Linked DNA regions of Anolis sagrei. The protein of the gene in region 2 purifies or fractionates together with the protein of the main gene of each other region. This does not show direct contact. Links are inferred from orthologs where the notes say so. Each region holds a gene or a part of one and is shown on either strand. Other genes may lie near its edges.

Region 1 (6,865 bases), on a different chromosome or scaffold from region 2:
ATCATAAAGACCATACAAGTATGTCTTCTATATTATTGTTCTTTTAAAAGCAATGTGCTAAGAGCCAGATCCGTTAAGGTGAGTTCTAAGTATTCCAGCTCCTTAACAAGAAATTAGTTTTGATAAACAAAGTCATGGAAAAGTGAAACTGAGTACACGGTTCTGTAGATAATGGGTCATACCATACAATTCAAATCCAGTGTAAACAAACATGTATAGGATGGAACTGGCCCTTCAAAGGGGTTTCATATAAGATAATAACTGCTAAAGTATGTCTACTATAGTTATATCCCTTGAAAGTAGGCATGGGCAAACTTTGGCCCTCTGGGTGTTTTGAACTTCAACTCTTACAATTCCTAACAGCCCATAGGAATCCAACAAATGCTACGTTCGAAAAAGGACAAGAGGGATCCTCTCACCTCTGCAGGAGTCTAGCGTATACCATGCAGCTGTGGACGAGTCTACATAGGGACCACCAAATGCAGCATTGCCCAGGCATGAATCAAGGAATATGAAAGGCACTGTAGACTAACTCAACCAGAGAAGCCAGCCATAGCTGAGCACCTGGTGAACCAATCTGGAAAAAGCGTATTATTTGAGAACACAGAAATGCTGGACCACTCTAACAATCATTATGTCAGACTAGAGAGGGAAGCCACTGAAATCCACAAGCACGTGGACAATTTCAACAGAAAGGAGGAAACCATGAAAATAAACAAAATCTGGCTACTAGTATTTTTAAAAAAACTCTAAAAATTTGGCAATAAAGAACAACACTCAAAAAACTGGGGAATTCCAGACAAGAATCAATCATGGATCTCCCAACAAAATATTCCCACAGGCTACCAGCCAGACTTTGAAGTTGCAAGGTTATTAAGTGCTAATCAAGGTGGCCATTTGTAACATTGACACTTGCCTCAAGCAGATAAGAGTTATTTCTCTTACCCTGGAGAATTTATATATCCACAGATACATAAATCTCACTTGCCTAGTTTCCAACAGACCTCACAACCTCTGAGGATGCCTGCCATAGATGTGCGCAAAACATCAGGAGAGAATGCTTCTGGAATATACTGCCATATTGTTGTTCATTCGTTCAGTCGTCTCCGACTCTTCGTGGCCTCATGACCAGCCCACGCCAGAGCTCCCTGTCAGCCGTCACCACCCCCAGCTCCTTCAAGGTCAATCCAGTCACTTCAAGGATGCCATCCATCCATCTTGCCCTTGGTCGGCCCCTCTTCCTTTTGCCTTCCACTTTCCCCAGCATAATTGTCTTCTCTAGGCTTTGCTGTCTCCTCATGATGTGGCCAAAGTACTTCAACTTTGTCTCTAGTATCCTTCCCTCCAATGAGCAGTCGGACTTTATTTCCTGGAGGATGGACTGGTTGGATCTTCTTGCAGTCCAAGGCACTCTCAGAACTTTCCTCCAACACCACAGTTCAAAAGCATCTATCTTCCTTTGCTCAGCCTTCCCTAAGGTCCAGCTCTCACATCCATAGGTTACTACAGGGAATACCATGGCTTTGACCATGGCTGCCATACAGCCCGGAAAACTCATAGCAACCCAGCCAGTAGGTCGTTAGGAGTTGTGACAGCTGAAGTCCAAAAACACCCGGAGGGCCAAAGTTTGCCCGTGCTTGCTTAAAAAGCAGTGCAGTAGTTAGCAAGAGCTGCAAGTTTCCCAACTACTTCCCAATCATCCCTAGCTGTTTGCACAGGACTTCCGAATATCACAGTAGGAGAGGTGATTGATAACATGAGATAAATCAGTTTATGGAAGAGTTGGATTACTATTTTTCCGACTGTTTTGTTGTATATCCCCCCCCCCCCCCGCCCGGGAAGCCAAGCAATCCAAAGGCGGGGCCTTTCGGCGCGAGCACACGGGGCCCCCGCTCGCCCGCCTGGCAGCCAATGAGGAGCGGGCCTCGTGGATTTAGTGGGTGCCAAAACAAATGGGCTTCCTCCCTCCCTCCCCCAACGTCGTGGGTGCCTAGCTGCTCCACGCAAGGCGCCTTTTTCATCCCCCTCCTCCTCCTCATTATTGTCATCACTGCTGCCATTGCTAGGCCGCCTTTGGCCTTCTCTCTCTTTTCTCTCTTAACAGTAAACAAAAGAGAAAAGAGGAACAGCATGGTTTTGAGTCTACACCAGGCCTGAGCCAATTTGGGCCCGGAGGGCCCAAATTGGCCCAGGTCTCCTCTATACGAAAGGAATAGTTTGGCACCACTTTTTGCAAACTGCCAATCCTGGGAGTTGTAGCAACACAAGGCCCAGCGAAGAGACAACATCCAGGGTTCTGTCTCCTTGAGCAATGAAAAGTGCATCAAATCTACAGTGTGGATGCACCCTGGGAGGAAGGGGAACGGGACACGTAGGCCAGGCTGGAACAAAAGCCCCGCTTCTCCCTGAATTCTGGGAAGTTGGGCCTTCCCTCCAGCAGAGGCCTTGCTTTTCCCCCTTCTCTGCCCGCGCCTCGGCTTCGAGTTGGCTCCCCTCTGCTTCCCTCCCTCAGCAAATCACTGTCCTTTGGGCTGCGGCCTACACTTGAAGCGCCCGCCAGCCTCGCCTCAAGCCTTTGACCCTCGGCTTCCCCGCCGGTTTTTCATTTTTTACCTCTTCATTCTCCTCTTGAGGGAAGTCGCGGAATAATAATAATAAACCCGAGAGAGAGAGAGAGGCCTGCGGCGAAGGAAGGAAGGAAAGAAGGAAGCGCTCCGGGTCCGGCCTGGATTGCTCTTCGCCCTTTCTCAGTCTCTCTCTCGCTGTCTCTCTTTCGGCGGCGCTTGGCTTCGGCCTAGGCCCAAAAGGGAGGGAAAGGAAGCCCGAGTCCCTCCGCAAAGGGAGGGAGAGAGGAAGGAAGACTCGAAGGGGTTAAAAAACAAAAGGGAGCGGAAGAGGGGCCTGAGGTGCGCGGGCAGGCGCCGTTGCTTTAAGCGCTCCCGGCCGCCGCCATCATCACGCCGAGTGTCCCCTCCTCTTTCTCCTCCTCCTCCCTCCTTCTCTCCTTCCCTCCCTCTTTCCCCCTCCGATGGAAACCCCGGGCGTGATGTCAGCCCTGGACTGAGCGGGAAGGGAGGGAGGAAGGAAGGGGGAGGAGCCAGCGAGGCAGGCCGGGAAAGGAGCAGAGGGCGAAGGGGAAGGGAAGCAGGAAGGAAGGAAAGCAGGCCGCTATGACGAGAAGAGGAAGGGAAGAGGGCGCCAAGTGAGGGAATGCGCCTCTGAGGCCTCATCCGCCAGGCCGCTCTGAGGCCCAGCCATCCAACTCCCACAACAAAACCCACGCGAAAGAAAGGCCTCTCCGTGGTTCTGTGTCATCGCCATCACGTTGGCAGTCTTTAGGAAGAGCTTGAAGACCTGGCTGCTCCAGTGTGCCTTTCCAGAATAGGAAACTCCCAGCATCATGTCCCAAACGCACTTGACCAGAGATTTGAGATTGCCTGCACATCGCGCCTACCTTAAAATCCTTACATTTCACCTGTCATGTCCAGCACTTTTTAATTTATTCATTACACTTGGCCTGGTCCTAGTTTTAAATGTGTCATGATGTATTGTTTTGATGTTTTACTGTTACTGCTTTAATGTTTATTGGTTTGCTTTATGAGTTTTATTGTTGTATTTGTTATGCTGTTGTTTTATTTGTAAGCCGCACCAAGTCCTTCGGGAGATGTTAGCGGGGTACAAATAAAGTTAATAATAATAATAATAATAATAATTGGGCCCTGGTATTTCTCATCGTCTTGTAAGAGACCTCATGGGCCATCCAGTCCAACCCCCTGCCAAGAAGCAGGAAAATTGCATTCAAAGCACCCCCGACAGATGACCATCCAGCCTCTGTTGAAAAGCTTCCAAAGAAGGAGCCTCCACCACACTCCGGGGCAGAGAGTTCCACTGCTGAACGGCTCTCACAGTTAGGAAGTTCTTCCTAATGTTCAGATGGAATCTCCTTTCTTGTAGTTTGAAGCCATTGTTCCATGCCCTAGTCTCCAGGGAAGCAGAAAACAAGCTTGCTCCCTCCTCCCTGTGGCTTCCTCTCACATATTTATACATGGCTATCATGTTTCCTCGCAGCCTTTTTTATCTTCAGGCTAAACATGCCCAGCTCTTTAAGCCGCTCCTCATAAGGCTTGTTCTCCAGATCCTTGATCATTTTAGTTGCCCTCCTTTGGATACATTGAAGTGACATCTCCGGCCCACCCCCTGTTCGGATATCAGCCAGCACGCCAACGCCTTAAGAAGAAATAGTTTTTTTAAGATCGAAACAGATACTTGCAGGAACACCTCAGCAAACAAGAGTCCAAAAGTAGCAGGCTAAGACCCAGAAACTCAAGCTATGGCTGATACCAAATGAGAGCCCCCCCCCCCCCCCCCCGGGCACACAGAAGATTGGGGGCCCTTCCACATAGCCCTATATCCCAGAATATCAAGGCGGAAAGTCCCACATTATCTTGAGTGTGGACTCAACCTAGTTCAAAGCAGATATTGTGGGATTCTCTGACTTGATATTCTGGTATATAGGCCTGTGTGGAAGGGCCCCCAGTCTTCTGTGTGCCCAGGGGGGAGTCTCATTCTTCAATGCCAGTTGAAGTGACATCTCTGGCCCACCCCCTGTTCAGATATCAGCCAGCACACCAGTGCCTTAAATGAAGAAATAGTTTTCTAAAATCGACAGAGATACTTGCAGGAACACCTCAGCAAGCGAGAGTCCAAAAGCGGCAGGCTAAAACCCAGAAACTCAAGCTATGGCTGATACTAAATGAGAAACTCCCCCCTGGGCACACAGAAGACTGGGGGCCCTTTCACATAGCCCTATATCCCAGAAGATCAAGGCAGAAAGTCCCACATTATCTGAGTGTGGACTCAACCCAGTTCAAAGTGGATATTGTGGGATTTTCTTCCTTGTTATTCTGGTATATAGGGCTGTGTGGAAGGGCCCTGGGTGACTTAGAAGGCGCTAAACAGGCTGCGCTCTGGCACCACAAGATGCAGCACCAACCTTAAATGGGGCCACAAAGTGGGGTCTGCAACGTGAGTGTGGAGAAGAGCAAACCTCAGACCACCTATTACAATGCAGTCTGAGCCCTCTCACATTCACAATGGAGGACCTTATAGAAACACCAGAGGCACTCCAAGTGGCCGGCTACTGGTTAAAGGACATTTAGTATAATGCCAAGTTTTTAAAACTTTGTGTTTTTAAATGCATTATAACTGTACCTTCGGTTTGCTTCTGACATGATTAATAATCCATGCCAGTTCGATGAGCCCCGGGAAGGCTCCCATTTGGGGTGAATTTCCCATCCAAGGGTCAGATTTCTTTCACTTCCTGTTGTCTCTCCCATGTTCTTAACAATGAGTTGTTCGTACGTAAGATGTTTGTAACTTGGGGACTACCTGTATATCCCTAGGAAACCAGTTTGAGGCCCTGATGGTAATTACACAAACCACACAATACTGAGACACATTAAGGGCTATCATTTGTTATCTGACCACTAGCTTCAAACTGAATTAAATTGCCACTATAGGGCCTACATTGTAGAATTAATGCAGTTTGTTACCATCTTGCTTCCATTCTCCACAATCCTGGGATTTGTAGTTTTGATCAGGCACTAGCTTTCTTTAGCAAAGAAAGCTAAAGACCTGGTAAAGTTACAACTGTTAGGATTCTGTAGCATTGAAGCACAGCAGTGAAAGTGGTATCAAACTGCATTAATTCTACAGTATTGATGTGCCCTGAGAGATGCAATTTGGCACCACGTGAACTGCTCTGGCTCAGTGCTATGGAATTATGGGAGTTCTAAACGATAACTCCCAGGATTCCATAGCATTGATCCACGGCAGTTCATGTGTCAAACTATTAATTCTACAGTATAAATGCACCCATAGTGGACAGACTCTGCTTTACTGCCTGTGTGCCTGAGAGAAAAACTTTTGCTCTCTTACTCAAAGTGGCCCCAAATTACCTTCCACTAGCAGCTCACAGCCTGAAGCTTTTGTCTCAAGAGACACGTGTGTGTCTGTTAAGTATGTGTAGTACTAGTGGTTTCAGATTGCGGTTTTACGTAAGAAAGAACTGACTCATTGAAGGCTGAGGGACTTCCCTCTCTGAGTAAGCCTCCATAAAGAGCCAGTGGGGTGTAGCAGCTTGAATGTTGAACCTCCCAAATCCCTCAAGTCATCAGCAGTGGATTGTGTATTAATAGTCTGCTGTATTATTACAAACATTTGCAATTAATGTTGTGCCACAGACAAATAAACTTTAGTTGAGTGCTGGACTACATTCTGGAGACCAGGTCTGAATACCTGTTGGGCCACGAAAATGCACTGCGGCTGCATCTTCACTGTAGAATGAATGCAGTTTGGCACCACTTTAGCTGCCATGGCTCAGTGGTATGGAATCCTGGGCGCTGTAGTTTGGCTCAAGGATTGTTTGGCTAAAGATTCTGTAAAGCTATAGATCCCATGATTCCATATTCACATGATTAAGCACATGGCAGTAAAAGTTGCGTCAAACTGCAGTAGTTCTACAGTGTAGATGCACCCTTGTTCTACTAATGTGCACCAAATAAGGCTTTTCGCCTTCTCTGCCAAAGAGTGCCAGTTCATCAAACTACAGTTCCCAGGATGCCATAGCATCAGAGGTTTGACTTCTCTCTCTCTTTTCAGCACCAATATACCAAGGACCCTATGTATTTCCTAAAGTGGTGTCAAAACCGCATTAATTCTACAGTGTAGACACACCTCTAGTGACCTTGGGCAACGCACACTCTCCACCTTAGAAAATAACATTTTATTTATTTATTTATTTATTTATTTATTTATTTATGGTATTTATATCCTGCCCAGGGCCGTAGCCAGAAAAAAATTCGGG
Region 2 (7,208 bases):
TCATCCTCTCTCCAAGACAACCAGAAAACTCTTTCATTCCTTCCCAAAAGCTGTGACTCCTAGACTTTTTTCTATATGTTGTTTCCCATGGGACAGCATTGGCCCCATCAGAACTTACCTCCAAATTTTACTGTGCCCCAGTTCCATCCCTTCACACACAAATCTTTTTCAGCAAGCTCCAAATGAAAGTGGGTCTTGAAAAAATCTGCAAGTTTATCAAATTCCTAAAAGGGAGGAAATCGCTTAATTAGGAAGCATCCAGTTAATATTGTAGTAAGTAGATTTCATTGTAATGGAGGGCAAAAAAAATCAAGGTTACCAATGTGCCATTCGAGCAACATGAGTCTTTTGGTTCCTTCCTAATCCCTCAGGATAAAAACTAGCCCAGTAAACTGCCACCAGTCTTTGTATCTACCCATGGTACAATAAAAAATATATAGTAACAAATTATATTAACAAAGACATTTTTATACATAAGAATATGCTAGACAACATCACAGACCACATATACAAAATACAATGTTATCCACACCTATGCAGGTGCAAATTCAACCTGTCTTGTCCTTAATACTGGAAATTCCACCCCCTAATTAAGTCATGGAAACCTGTAGAGGTCTCTACTGTACAATAATTAGAAATAAACTTATATTAAACGGAAGCTTACCGTCTCCCTGAATCCATCATACTTGTAGACATGGCCACCCTTCGTAAGTAGTTTGAGACCATGGCCCAGTGCTACTCTGCGCCAGATGCCCTCTGCCAATTCTGAGGCCTGGATGTTGTCAACTTTTCCAGTTTTGCTGTTCTTAAAAATCACACCCTGGCGATTTAGCCGTAGGCGGCCATCATTCTAACACAGAAAGAGACAGAGAAGGCTAGAGACATAGAAACAGTGGCCACAGCAGCTGGGCAAAGAATATCATTCCTCCAAGTGCCTCTGAACCAGTGCTTGCAAAAACCAGTAATTACTTCCATACTGTCATATCCAATGATTGCTTTTTTGTCTTCTGATCTTTCTATTCTCTGCTACTTTAATCAACTTTTACCCTCTCCCACTAAACATCTTTCATAACTTCAGTCTCTATAGCTGTCATTAGAAAGTTCTTTCTAATCCAAGTATTCTTTACTGAATCATCAAGGTGCATGGCAACATTTTTTTTCTTCCTATGAGAGATGGAGCACTCAGATAAACACACACACAAGAATTTTGCAGCAAAATATTGGGACTAGCTTCCTTTTAAACATATAACTTCAAACAAACCCTTTGTGTTTAATGATTTTAAATATTAAACCCATAACACTCACCATAGATCCCTTCACCTCCTGGTATATTTCATTGAATTCCAATGTATCTGCCATGGTGGTTGTTCTCTCCCTACCCCGCCCCCACTACAAATGGGTTTAGAGTCACACCAAGATGTGTAGTTCTGGAAGGAAAGCTTTCTGGAGAGAATCAGGCAAGATATATTAATCCTTTCTTGAATTCGACATATTTACTGATAACGCAAGTTGTCAGAAGTCCAGAGATCTAGAGACCTGGGAAAGAAACAAAACAATTACCCAAATAACAAACCTCAAAACATGAAAATCCCCATGAAAAAGCAACCCACCCCAACCTTGGAATATACAGAGAAACTTCTGTTTCCCGGGGGGGGGGGGGGGGGGATTTTAAATTGTGTTATTTTATGTGTTGATAGTGATTGTCTCTTTTTGGGAGATGGTGGCGGGATATAAATATAGTTTTATATTAGCTGTCTAATTAATGCAGTTTGACATCACATTAATAGCCACAGCTCAGTGCTACGAAATCATGGGAGCTGGAGTTTTACAAGGCCTTGAGCCATCCGTCAAAGAGTATGCTGGTGCCTCACCAAACTACAACTCCCAGGATCCCATAGAACTGAGCCATGACAGTTAAAGTGGTGTCAAACCACATTAATGCATCTACACTCCAAGTGTGGTGTCACTGAAGAGATCCCACAAACTTTCCAGCCACCCAACCACCAAGTTAAGTGATTATGTGTTTTGTATGTGGTTATTCCCCCATCCCATAGGGAGAAATAGAAAAGAAAAAAGAAAGTTTTACAGTAAGTCAGGGGTGCTGTGCTTAATATAGATTTTTAATGATTTTAGCTATGTTGTAGTACGTTTCATTGATTACCCCATTACCCATATCAAAACATTTAACAAACACATAGAGCATGCAACCCACAGTACAACACAAGTTAAAATAAACAAGCTGTTAGCAAAGTCCCAATACAGATCAAGTATCTGCATCACCTCTGCAGTTTTCCCCAATCAACTCTAAACATGCAGTTCTTAGCTGTGTTGCTTTAAATAAAAAAGGTCAGTTTTATATGTTATTTTAGCATTCTGGCTGGCCATTAAAAATGTAGTTGTAATATACGGATCCCAGTGTGTCTTTTGTACAGTGCATGGCCCAAGATATTGGTTTCTCTCTTTATCGTACAAGTTACAACTAAGCAGTACATGTGTGATATCTAGGTTTTAATTTACACACTGTATTAGTGTCAGCTCTTTTGAGTCTCCTTTGGGGGGGGGGGGGAGAAGGGTGTAAATAGATAAATAATAATGGCGATGATGTTATGGCAGCAAGCACACATCTGCTCACTCCCACCCCATTCTGCCTCGCACACACGAACGCTGAAGGCTACTGTCTTGGCCAAAAGAAAGCAATTGCAATATTCTGTCAATATAAATCTCCATGATATTTTGGCCCAGTGGGAAGGAAACCCCACTGAGGGCCAAAGGCCCCAACCCCAGGGAAGGGTGAAGCTCAGCTTGCCCTACAAGGAAGGGAGGCAGGCAGGCAGGCAGAGGATCCTTGGCCCGTCAGTTCGATTCCCTGAGCACCCTTCTTCCCCTTTCCCCCACCAACAAGGAGCCCCATGTTATTACCAAGTCCGTCTTCACCACAGACACTTTCCCGCCTGCGCAACACGAGTTGTGCCCGCCTCCCCTTCCCATGCCCTCCGGAAGCCAAACCACACTTCCGCCTTTCGGAATGACGTCATCCCGGCCTTGGCGCGTAAAGGTTATAGAGTTGCACTGCCTCGCTGCTTTCTGCGCCTCTAAACTTCCGGTGCACATTCGAAACCGGCCACTGAGCTGCGAATCACTCGGGAGGGAGGCCAGGGCGGGATGGCGCTCCGCCCTCTGGGTCTCGAGGGTGAAAACCACAGGCTGCTTTTCAAAGAGACGCCCATAAAAGGCCTTTTCCCTGGTTTTATGGGAATTTGTTTAAAAAAATTACTCTCCAAAAAATTACTCGCCATCACGTGCATGGTGCATATTTTTTTTGCTTTGATGTTTTTATTTTGTAACTAGCCACCCCCTGCCACGCGTTGCTGTGGCCCAGTCTGTGTATATGTGCATTGTGTGTGCATATACAGGGTGAGGCAGCATAACTTCCTTTTTTCAAAACTTAATAAAACCCATTGTATGAATCAGAAATTTTAATGTTTTTTTTTATAATGTAGGCGCATACCTAAAGTTTTGTTTTATGTAGTTTTGAAGATCAAATTAGGTAGGCGACGTCCCCCATTCTCCATACACTGAATAAACCAATTTCTGGCGTTTGTCCTGACCCTTGCCAGCATAGCAGGCGTTATGTTGGCAATTTCTTCCTGGATGTTGGTCTTCAAATCTTGTAGGGTCCGTGGACGGTTCACAGAAACACAGGATTTCAAAAAACCCCATAGAAAAAAATCACAAGGGGCCAAATCTGGAGAGCGGGCCGGCCACTCCAAATCCGCTAAAAAAATAGGCCTCAACGGCAAAAGCACACTCCTCACTGTTCCAACGCATGATGGCGACTGAACTATGTCAGGACAAAACTTTATACACCCGCCTCTCAAACGAGACCACTAGCGCTCCACTACGTCTTCAACCGACTGAATGGCGCACATTTTAAAAAAGGAAGTTATGCTGCCTCACCCTGTATTTGTGGATCTTAATAAATTGTGGCAAGTTCTTGGTGGTATGGGCCTACCAAATCACCTTGTCTCTCTCCTGAGAAATCTGTTTAAGGACCAAGTAGCAACAGTAAAAATTGACCATGGAACAACAGACGGGTTCAAGATTGGGAAAGGCGTATGGCAAGGCTGCATACTCTTGCCCAACCTATTCAAGTTGTATGCAGAACACATCATGCGATGTGCGGAGCTTGACAAATGCAAGGCTGGGGTTAAAATTGCTGGAAGAAATATTAACAACCTTAGATATGCAGATGACACCACTTTGATGGCCGAAAGAGAGGAGGAGCTGAGGAGCCTTGTAATCAAGGTGAAAGAAGAAAGTGCAAAAGCTGGGTTGCAGATAAACATTTAAAAAACCAAGATTATGGCAACAAGAATGATTGACAACTGGAAAATAGAGGGAGAAAACATGGAGGCCGTGACAGACTTTGTATTTCTAGGTGCAAAGATTACTGCAGACGCAGACTGCGGCCAGGAAATCAGGAGACGCTTCTTGGCAGGAGAGCAATGACCAATCTTCATAAAATAGTGAAGAGACATCACACTGGCAACGAAGATCCGCATTGTTAAAGCAATGGTATTCCCATAGTCACCTACGGATGTGAGAGCTGGATCATAGGGAAGGCTGAGTGAAGGAAGATAGATGCTTTTGAGCTGTGGTGTTGGAGGAAAGTGCTGAGAGTGCCTTGGACCACGAGAAGATCCAACCAGTCCATTCTCCAGGAAATAAAGCCTGACTACTCTCTGGAGGGAAGGATAGTAGAGACAAAGTTGAAGTACTTTGGCCACATCATGAGAAGACAGGAAAGCTTAGAGAAGACAATTATGCTGGGGGAAATGGAAGGAAAAAGGAAGAGGGGATGGCATCTTTGAAGTGACTGGCTTGACTCTGAAGGAGCTGAGGTAGGTGACAGCTGACAGGGAGCTCTGGCATGGGTTGGTACATGAGGTCACGAAGAGTCAGAAACGACTGAACGAATGAACAACAACAAAGACTACCCGTCCCCTGCCACGCATTGCTGTGACCCAGTCTGTGTATATGTGTTTTGTATATTTATGTTATGTGTATATGTGTGTGTTATACACATATGTGTTGTGTGTATGTGTGTGTGTATATATATATTTGTATATGTGTGTGTTTGCGTATATATGTGGTTTTGTGCATGTGTTGTAATATATTTTTTGGTTTTTGGCTTTTTAAGTCCCTTCCACTGTTTTTCAGTGTTTTTATGAGTGATGATCACTCATTGACCTGATAGGTGTCTTGTGTCCAAATTTGGTGTCAATTCGTCCAGTGGTTTTTGGGTTGTGTTAATCCCACAAACGAACATTACATTTTTATTTATATAGATGCTAGCTGTCCGCTGCCACGAGTTGCTGTGGCCCAGTCTGGCAATCTGGAAAATAAAGTAATGAGAAAGTGTTGGTTTCTAATATATGTAATTTCTTTATGCTTGTGCGTAAACAGTATTTCTTCCTCTTTTCTTGTCAATATTGGTGTGGAGATTGTCTGGTTTGTGTACTCTGGAACATACAACATATTGTCCTTCTTTGATACTATATCTGTGTGTGTGAATCATGTATCTATATCTATATCTATGGCTGGATGGCTCTTTGTCAGGAGGGCTTTGATTAAGTTTCCTTGCCCTGGTGAAGGGAGTTGGACTGGATGGCTTTAAGTATTTTATGTTGCTCATGGGAGTCTGTGTGGGAAGTTTGCCCCAATTGTGTCATTGGTGGGGTTCAGAATATTCTTTGATTGTAGGTGAACTATAAATCCCAGTAACTACAACTCCTAAATGTCAAGATCTATTTCCCCCAAACTCCATCTGTGTTCATATTTGGGCATATTGAGTATTCGTATCAAGTTTGGTCCAGATCCATCATTGTTTGAGTCCATGGTGCTCTCTGGATGTAGGTGAACTACAACTCCCAAACTCAAGGTCAGTACTCACCAAATCTTTCCAGTATGCTCTGTTTGTCATTGGATCTCTGTGCACCAAGATTGGTTCAGTTCCATCATTGGTGGAGTTCAGAATGCTCTTTGATTGTAGGTGAACTATAAATCCCAGCAACTACAACTCCCAAATGACAAAATTAATTTTTTGAGTGATAGTCAATCCTTGGGTTAGTAGGTGTCTTGTGGCCAAATTTGGTGACAATTTGTCCAGTGGTTTTTGAGTTATGTTAATCCCACAAACATTTTTATTTATATAGATGTGATGGAGGATGCATCTATATCAGGCATGGGCAAACTTGGATCCTCCAGGTGTTTTGGAATTGGAATTGTGGAATTATGGGAGGTGAAGTCCAGAACACCATAACTTTCCATAATAGCAGTTATCTTTTACTGTCAGCAATTTTCTTCAGTTTTTTTCCATAAAGCAAACTGGGGAGGGACAGTGGATGGGGACAAATCTCAACTGTGTGATGGCAAATCAATGGAGGATTCCTGAGTAAAACAGATAGATTGAAAAGTGTGTGATGAAGATAGGAAAACCATACCTTCAATTTCAAAACAGAGTATGCCTAAACTGAATGGTAAGCCTACTCCCCCAAACACGTGACCTGTTCAGTGTAATGAAGTCTTTAAATACTCCCTAAGCCATCTGATAAAGGGAACCAACATTTTATTTTTTTCTGTGTATCAGGGACAAGTATATATTTGTGGTCACTGGCTATAACTGATTGTTTTCTGTAAACACTCCATGGACTGGCAGCTAATAACTCATTAACCAGTCCTGGCACCACACTAAATAGCACTATTTTAAAACTTGCTCTAATAAAAGCCCAGCAAGTGATAGGTGTTGTACCCTCTAGCACGTTGTTGTTTTGGGAAAGATACCCATAATATATTTTGAGGATTGGATAGGCTTTCATGGGAGAACATGAATTAGATCCCTAGAGGTGCTTGCATCCAAGTATTTCACTAAGCCAGGCTCCTACAATAATTCTAACTTAACATTGATGAGGCAGTCTGCTGATTTTCATTTTCTGATTAACGATGTAGCAAGGGATGCAAGTAAATAAACCATGCCTTCTGATTTAAGGTTTCTTTCTTTGTCTTGATAGCTAAACAAACAAACAACTTTAAAACTACTCCCTCACAAGCAACTTTAAATCTACTCCCAGATTTGTTCTTTGACTTGCTGAGACAAAAACACTTCAGAGCACTGACTGCTGTCCTTGGGCATCACAAGTGCTGTGGTT
Region 3 (6,911 bases), on a different chromosome or scaffold from region 2:
TTGATATTCTGGGATATAGGGCTGTGTGGAAGGGCCCTTGGAATCTTTTTATTATATTCTCTTTTTAAAAGAGGTCATTTATCATGGAAGATGCTAAATTCCTATAAAATTTTTCATAAGTGTTTATAGCGGTAAATTCTGCAGGAATAGATAACTTGTGGAGGTGTTCTTTCTCTTCCTTTCTGTTTCTCTCCCATTCATTTCTCTCTGGACCCTTCCAAACAAAATATTGAGGCAGAATAACCCACAATATCTGCTTTGAACTGGGTTACCTAAGGGCCCTTCCACACAACCCTATATCCCAGACTATCAAGGCAAAATATTCCACAATATCTGCTTTGAACTGGGTTATCTGAGTCCACTCTCAGACAATGTGGGTTTTTCTGCTTGATATTCTGAGATATAGGGTTGTGTGAAAGGGCCCCGAGTCCTCACTGCCATACAACCCAGTTCAAAGCAGACATTTTGGGATGTTCTGCCTTGATATTCTGGAATAGAGGGCTGTGTGGAAGATGCTAAATTCCTATAAAACTGGAATACATTTTTCAGAAGTGTTATAGCAGTAAATTCTGCAGGAATAGGTAACCTGTGGAGGTGTTTTTTCTCTTCCAGTTTCTCTGCCATTCGTTTCTCTCTGGCCCTTTCCACACAACCATATAACTCAGACTATTGAGGCAGAATAACCCAAAATATCTGCTTTGAACCGGGTTACCTAAGGGCCCTTCCATACAATCCTATATCCCAGAATATCTGCTTTGAACTGGGCTATCTGAGTCCACTCTCTGACAATGTGGGTTTTTCTCCTTGATATTCTGGGATATAGGGTTGTGTAAAAGGGCCCCGAGTCCTCACTGCTATATAACCCAGTCCAAAGCAGATATTCTGTGATTTTCTGCCTTGATATTCTGGGATATAGGGCTGTGTGGAAGGGCCCTTAGGATCCTTTTATTATATTCTCTTTTCAAAGGTCATTTATCATGGAAGATACTAAATTCTAATAAAACTGGAATACATTTTTCAGAAGTATTTATAGTTAGGTTGTTGTAGGTTTTTTTCAAGCTATATGGCCATGCTCTAGAAGCAGTCTCTCCTGACGTTTCGTCTGCATCTATGGCAAGCATCCTCAGAGGTAATGAGGTCTGTTGGAACTAGGAAAAAGGGTTTATATATCTGTGGAATGACCAGGGTGGGACAAAGAACTCTTGTCTGTTGGAGCTAGTTGTGAATGTTTCAACTGACCACCTTGATTAGCATAAAATGGCCTGACAGTGCCTGGAGCAAACTTTTGTTGAGGTGATATTTTTCTCACATATTTATACATGGCTATCATGTTTCCTCTCAGCCTTCTCTTCTGAAGGCCAAACTTGCCCAGCTCTTTAAGCCGCTCCTCATAGGGCTTGTTCTCCAGACCCTTGATCATTTTAGTCGCCCTCCTCTGGACACATTCCAGCTTGTCAATATCTCCCTTCAACTTTGGTGCCAAGAATTGGACACAGTGTGATTCCAGGTGTGGTCTGACCAATGCAGAATAGAGCATGGGTAGCATGACTTCCCTGGATCTGTTGTGAGGTTGTGAGGTCTCTGAGGATGCAGGCGAAACGTCAGGAGAGAATGTCTCTAGAGCATTTGTCCGAACGGATCTCCCTCTACATCCCACCTCGAAGTTTAAGATCTTCTGGGGAGGCCCTGCTCTCGACCCCGCCAGTCTCTCAAGCGAGGCTGACGGGGACGAGGAGCAGGGCCTTCTCAGTGGCGGCCCCCCGCCTGTGGAACTCACTCCCTGGGGAGATCAGATCGGCGACCTCCCTCCTAACATTTAGGAAAAAACTAAAGACCTGGATGTGGGACCAAGCTTTTGGTCACTCTGACAATTAAATCAAGGACCTGGGAATAGACAAGACAAACGGAATAGGACGGACTTATGGACTCTGATATATGGACCCTGACATGAGACTGTTTTAGGTTTTTACTATGTACTGATGTTTTAATTTAAGTGTTGAATTGTTATTTTTTGTATTACTTGTTATGTGTTCGGGCATCTAATTGTGCCCTCCCCTGTAAGCCGCCCTGAGTCCCCTCCGGGGTGAGAAGGGCGGGGTATAAGTGATTGAAATAAATAAATAAATAATAGAGCATGGCCATATAGCTCGAAAAAACCTACAACCCAGTGATTCCAGCCATGAAAGCCTTCAACAATACAGTGTTTATAGTGATCAATTCTGCAGGAACAGGTAACCTGTGGAGGTGTTCTTTCTTTTCCTTTCTGTTTCTCTCCCATTCGTTTCTCTCTGGGCCCTTCCACACAAAATACTGAGGCAGAATAACCCACAATATCTGCTTTGAACTGGGTTATCCAAGTTCAAAGATATCCAAGATAATGTGGGTTTGTTTTGCCTTGATATTCTGGGATATGGGGCCCTTGGGATATAGGGCCCTGAGTCTTCCCTGCCATATAACCCAGTTCAAAGCAGTTAATGTGCGATTTTATTCAGCTGTGTGGAAGGGGCCTCTTTCTCTGTATTCCTTACTATCTCCTTCAGTCTTTCTCTCATTGTATTGTCGAAGGCTTTCATGGCCGGAATCACTGGGTTGTTGTAGTTTTTTTCGGGCTATATGGCCATGTTCTAGAGGCATTTTGGCAAGCATCCTCAGAGGTAGTCTGTCCCTCCTCCCCTTTCTGGCTCTTTTCTCTTTACCTTCTCGCGGTCGATGGGCTTTTCAGGCTCTTTCTTGATCTCCTCCTGAGTAACGCGAGACTCCACCGCCATCTTGCCGCCGCCGCCGCCTCCTACTCCTAGGCCCAAGCCTTTTCTGAGAGGGAGACAAAGCCAAGGAAGCAAGGCCGAGAGCCCGAGTCCCTCAGAAAAGGAGCGGGGAAAGCACAGCCAGCCCAAGCCTCCTTCCCCGCCTCGTGGGGACCACCGTTTCCTTATAAAAGCCCGGAAAACCGCCACAAACCTCCTCTGGTGGCTTTACCGAGGCAAGATGGCGGCATCCAGGAAAGATTCGAGCGGCTTCACTTGAAACCGCGAGCTCTCGTGAGACTACCCCTGTTGTCTCGCGAGAGAGAAACTAGAGCGTGGGATATAGCTTGTTTAAGGAATCTAGAAAAGGGTCTTGTCTGTGGAAGGATTTGAACTCAGGACCAAGGATGATCCAATGGTCCAATCGCATTAAAGTCTTATCACCCACAATTAATGTGGCTGATAAGACTTTGGGGCTTGTAAACCATGCTCCACTCTATTATTATTATTATTATTATTATTATTATTATTATTATTGATTTGATACATAGCAAGATTAGTAGACAGCAAACAAGATCACTATGCTGGCTTTTGTATTTGATCACACGTGAGAATACTTCCCAAGTGTCTAGGATGTATCAGTGAATAATGCGCACAGATCCGCGTAGGGTGGCCTTTTGCAGCTAATAGTAATTTTGTCTGTGCTGATTGTTTTTAAGTGCAGGCCAAGGTCTTTAGGCACTGCACCCAGTGTACCATTCACCACTGGGACCACTTTGACTGGTTTGTGCCAGAGTCTTTGCAGTTCAATCTTTAAATTCTCATATCGTCTAAACCAGTGTTTCTCAACCTGGGGGTCGGGACCCCTGTGGGGGTCGTGAGGGGGTGTCAAAGGGGTCGCCAAAGACCACCAGAAAACATAGTATTTTCTGTATTGTCGAAGGCTTTCATGGCTGGAATCACTAGGTTCTTGTGGGTGTTTCGGGCTATATGGCCATGTTCTAGAGGCATTTTCTCCTGACGTTTCGCCTGCATCTATGGCAAGCATCCTCACTACCTCTGAGGATGCTTGCCATAGATGCAGGCGAAACGTCAGGAGAAAATGCCTCTAGAACATGGCCATATAGCCCGAAAAAACCCACAAGAACATAGTATTTTCTGTTGGTCATGGGGGTTGTGTGTGGAAAGTTTGGTCCAATTCTGTCATTGGTGGGGTTCAGAATGCTATTTCATTGTGGGTGAACTATAAATCCCAACAACTACAACTCCCAATTGGCAAGGTCTATTTTCTCCAAACTCTGCCAGTGTTCACATTTGGGCATATTGAGTATTTGTGCCAAGTTTGATCCAGATCCGTCATCGCTTGAGTCCACAGTCTGGATATAGGTGAACTACAACTCCAAAAACTCAAGGTCAATGTCCACCAGTCCTTCCCAATATTTTCTCTTGGTCATGGGAATTCTGTGTGCCATGTTTGATTCAATTCCATCATTGATGGAGTTCAGAAGGCTCTTTGATTTAAGGTGAACTATAAATCCCAGCAACTCCAGCGTTACCAAATGACAAAATGAATCACCCCCAACCCCACCAGTATTCAAATTTTGGGCGTATTGGGTATTTGTGCCAAATTTAATCCAGTGACTGAAAATACATCCTGCATATCAGATATTTACATTACAATTCATAACAGTAGCAAAATTACAGTTATGAAGTAGCAACGAAAATAACATTATGGTTGGAGGTCACCACAACATGAGGACCTGTACTAAGGAGTTGCGGCATTAGGAAGGTTGAGAAACACTGGTGTAAGCTTTTCCAGTTACTTCTCAATCCTGCTGTCACCTGGGATATTATTATTATTATATTTGGGATCTTCTTAATATAATAAGGAAAAGCAGACAATGCCATTCAAGAGCTGTGTCTTTGTGCATATAGATGGATTTTCTTGCTCTGCCAATTAAACCTGAACTAGCGAACCTGAACTGCTAGTTGGGGGATTCTGGGAGTTGTAGTTCAAGAAGAAACTTTCTCAAGCTCTGCACATTGAAACTGAACTGGAAAACCTGAACTGCTGGTTGGGAGTTTCTATGAATTGTAATTCAAAATGTATCTTTCTTAAACTTTCCCCATTGAACTTGAATTGGGGGGTGGAGGAAGTCATTAAACCAGCCAGAAAAAAAGATTACGCAGCTATTACTAGAGAGTTCAGATATGAACAAAATGACTATTCTGATGCAGAGCATTTAAAAATTGAGAGAGGATGTAATTTAATGCTGATGGGCAGAAAATTGATCTCTTGTGTACTTTTCAAAGCAGCTGTGTTGTCCTTTTGTTATGACAGTTTTACAGCTGTTTGACCCTCTTGTTTACTCTTCGGTCTGTACACCAACAGAGATTTTCCAGTCTCCCAGCATAAAGAAAAAGAAATCCACATTGTGCAACTGGGGTGGTCCAACTGCAGTGATGGGTGGGCTGTATACACGGTAAATATATTAACTAGACTTTTCGTGGCCTGCCGATCTGTTTGAAACAAAGAGGCATAAATGACCACCATCTTTTCACAGAGAAGGCATGACAAAACTGTGTTAAGTGGGATTGTGTGTGTGTTTGAGCTTTAAGCATGTAAGAACTTCAGAAGTGTCTTGCTGGATAAGATCTGGGTCTGTCTAGATTAGTGTGCCTTGCAAGAATCCCACCCAACAATACACAGATAGTATCCACCAGAAATCTGTGGCATGTGGGCCATAATCTACTTTCCGTTCTTTATTTGTTGTTTTTATTCCATTTTGGCTGAATTTAAACCAAACTTCCCCAGTTTTATCGGGCAGCGCTTGAGAAAGTTACTTTTTGAACTACAATTCCCAGAATCCCCCAACCAGCATTTTAGCCTCTCCAGTTCAAGTTGAATGGGCAGTGCTTGAGAAACTACAACTCCCAGAATTCCCCAAACCATCAGTTTCGCTTCCTCAGTTCAAGTTGAATGGGCAGTGCTTGAGAAACTACAACTCCTAGAATCCCCCAACCAGCAGTTTAGCTTTCCTTGTTCAAGTTGAACGGGCAGTGCTTGAGAAACTACAATTTCCAGAACCCACCAACTAGCAGTTCAGGTACCCCGATTTAAGTAGAATGGACAAAACACGAGAAAGCTATTTTTTGTACTATGCCTCCTAGAATCCCTCAACCAGCAATTCAAGTTTCCCATCTCAATTTGAATGGGCAGAGGTTAAGAAAGTTTCTTTTTGAACTACAAATAAAGAATCCCTCAACCAGCAGTTCATGTTCTCCAGTTTAATGGGTGGCTCTTGAGAAAGTTCCTTTTTAAACTACAGATTCCAGAACATACCCACCCAACCAGTGGTTCAGGTTCCCCAGTTCAAGTTTAATGAGGAGAGCTGGAAAAATTACTTCTTGAACTGCAACTCCCAACATCCCACAACTAGCAGTTCACATTTAATGGGTAGAGCTTGGGAAAGTTAATTTTGAACGCCCAGAATCCCTCAAGCAGCATATTTCATGATCTGGTTATATATAAGGTGGAGTTGGCACGCAAGAGAAAGGACAAAGATAAAGGTTCAGCCTTTACGGTAATTCACAGCTTCATACGTTTATGGAGCTCTGAACAACTATTTGAGCCAGCTTACTATGTTTTAAAACTATAATTAAACAGTCTGCAAAATATATGGTACCATCCCTGTTCAGCGTTTTACAAGAAGTTTAATCTTTTGTGAAGCTAATATTGCTGGTTTTGGATCACTCACAAAACTAATTGTCAAAAATGTGTCTGAACCTGTGATGTCAGTGGCTAAACACCTTTCCTTGGGAAACAGGTAATTTTGAACCAGAATTAGACAGTCCTAGTTGTCATTGCTTGCTAGGATGCAAAAACTAACTGTGATTTGGTTTGTGTAAACATCATTTTATTATTGGATTGATTGATTGATTGATGTATCACTTTTCGCCCTGCATGGGATCCTGGGCAATATACAACATTAAAAAAAACACATAATAACTAGTAAACAGTCAATAAACACTGGGTTGCTGAGAGTTTTCCAGGCTGTATGGCCATGTTCCAGAAGCATTCTCTCCTGGTGTTTCGCCTGCATTTATGGCAGGCATTCTCAGAGGTTATGAGGTCTGTTGGAAACTAAGCAAGTGAGGTTTATATAT

Evidence for each region. Proteins that work in one complex are often made in the same cells at the same time.
Region 1: the proteins of SSRP1 (region 2) and CHD1 purify together in Homo sapiens (affinity purification with mass spectrometry; 3 studies listed by BioGRID and IntAct, with this or other methods). This does not show direct contact. The link is inferred for Anolis sagrei from reciprocal best matches to the Homo sapiens genes SSRP1 and CHD1.
Region 3: the proteins of SSRP1 (region 2) and SAP18 fractionate together in Homo sapiens (co-fractionation; 3 studies listed by BioGRID and IntAct, with this or other methods). This does not show direct contact. The link is inferred for Anolis sagrei from reciprocal best matches to the Homo sapiens genes SSRP1 and SAP18.

Annotation. Positions count from the first base shown.
Region 1 is NC_090022.1:251,871,373-251,878,237, reverse strand, and holds the start of CHD1 (chromodomain-helicase-DNA-binding protein 1), read right to left. Parts: upstream 3,022-6,865; 5' UTR 2,614-3,021; intron 1-2,613. UniProt on the Homo sapiens protein: ATP-dependent chromatin-remodeling factor which functions as substrate recognition component of the transcription regulatory histone acetylation (HAT) complex SAGA. Regulates polymerase II transcription.
Region 2 is NC_090021.1:233,759,925-233,767,132, forward strand, and holds the start of SSRP1 (FACT complex subunit SSRP1), read right to left. Parts: upstream 3,020-7,208; 5' UTR 2,920-3,019; intron 1,537-2,919; 5' UTR 1,360-1,536; coding exon 1,306-1,359; intron 851-1,305; coding exon 665-850; intron 225-664; coding exon 119-224; intron 1-118. UniProt on the Homo sapiens protein: Component of the FACT complex, a general chromatin factor that acts to reorganize nucleosomes. The FACT complex is involved in multiple processes that require DNA as a template such as mRNA elongation, DNA replication and DNA repair.
Region 3 is NC_090023.1:28,526,360-28,533,270, reverse strand, and holds the start of SAP18 (histone deacetylase complex subunit SAP18), read right to left. Parts: upstream 3,022-6,911; 5' UTR 2,769-3,021; coding exon 2,697-2,768; intron 1-2,696. UniProt on the Homo sapiens protein: Component of the SIN3-repressing complex. Enhances the ability of SIN3-HDAC1-mediated transcriptional repression. When tethered to the promoter, it can direct the formation of a repressive complex to core histone proteins.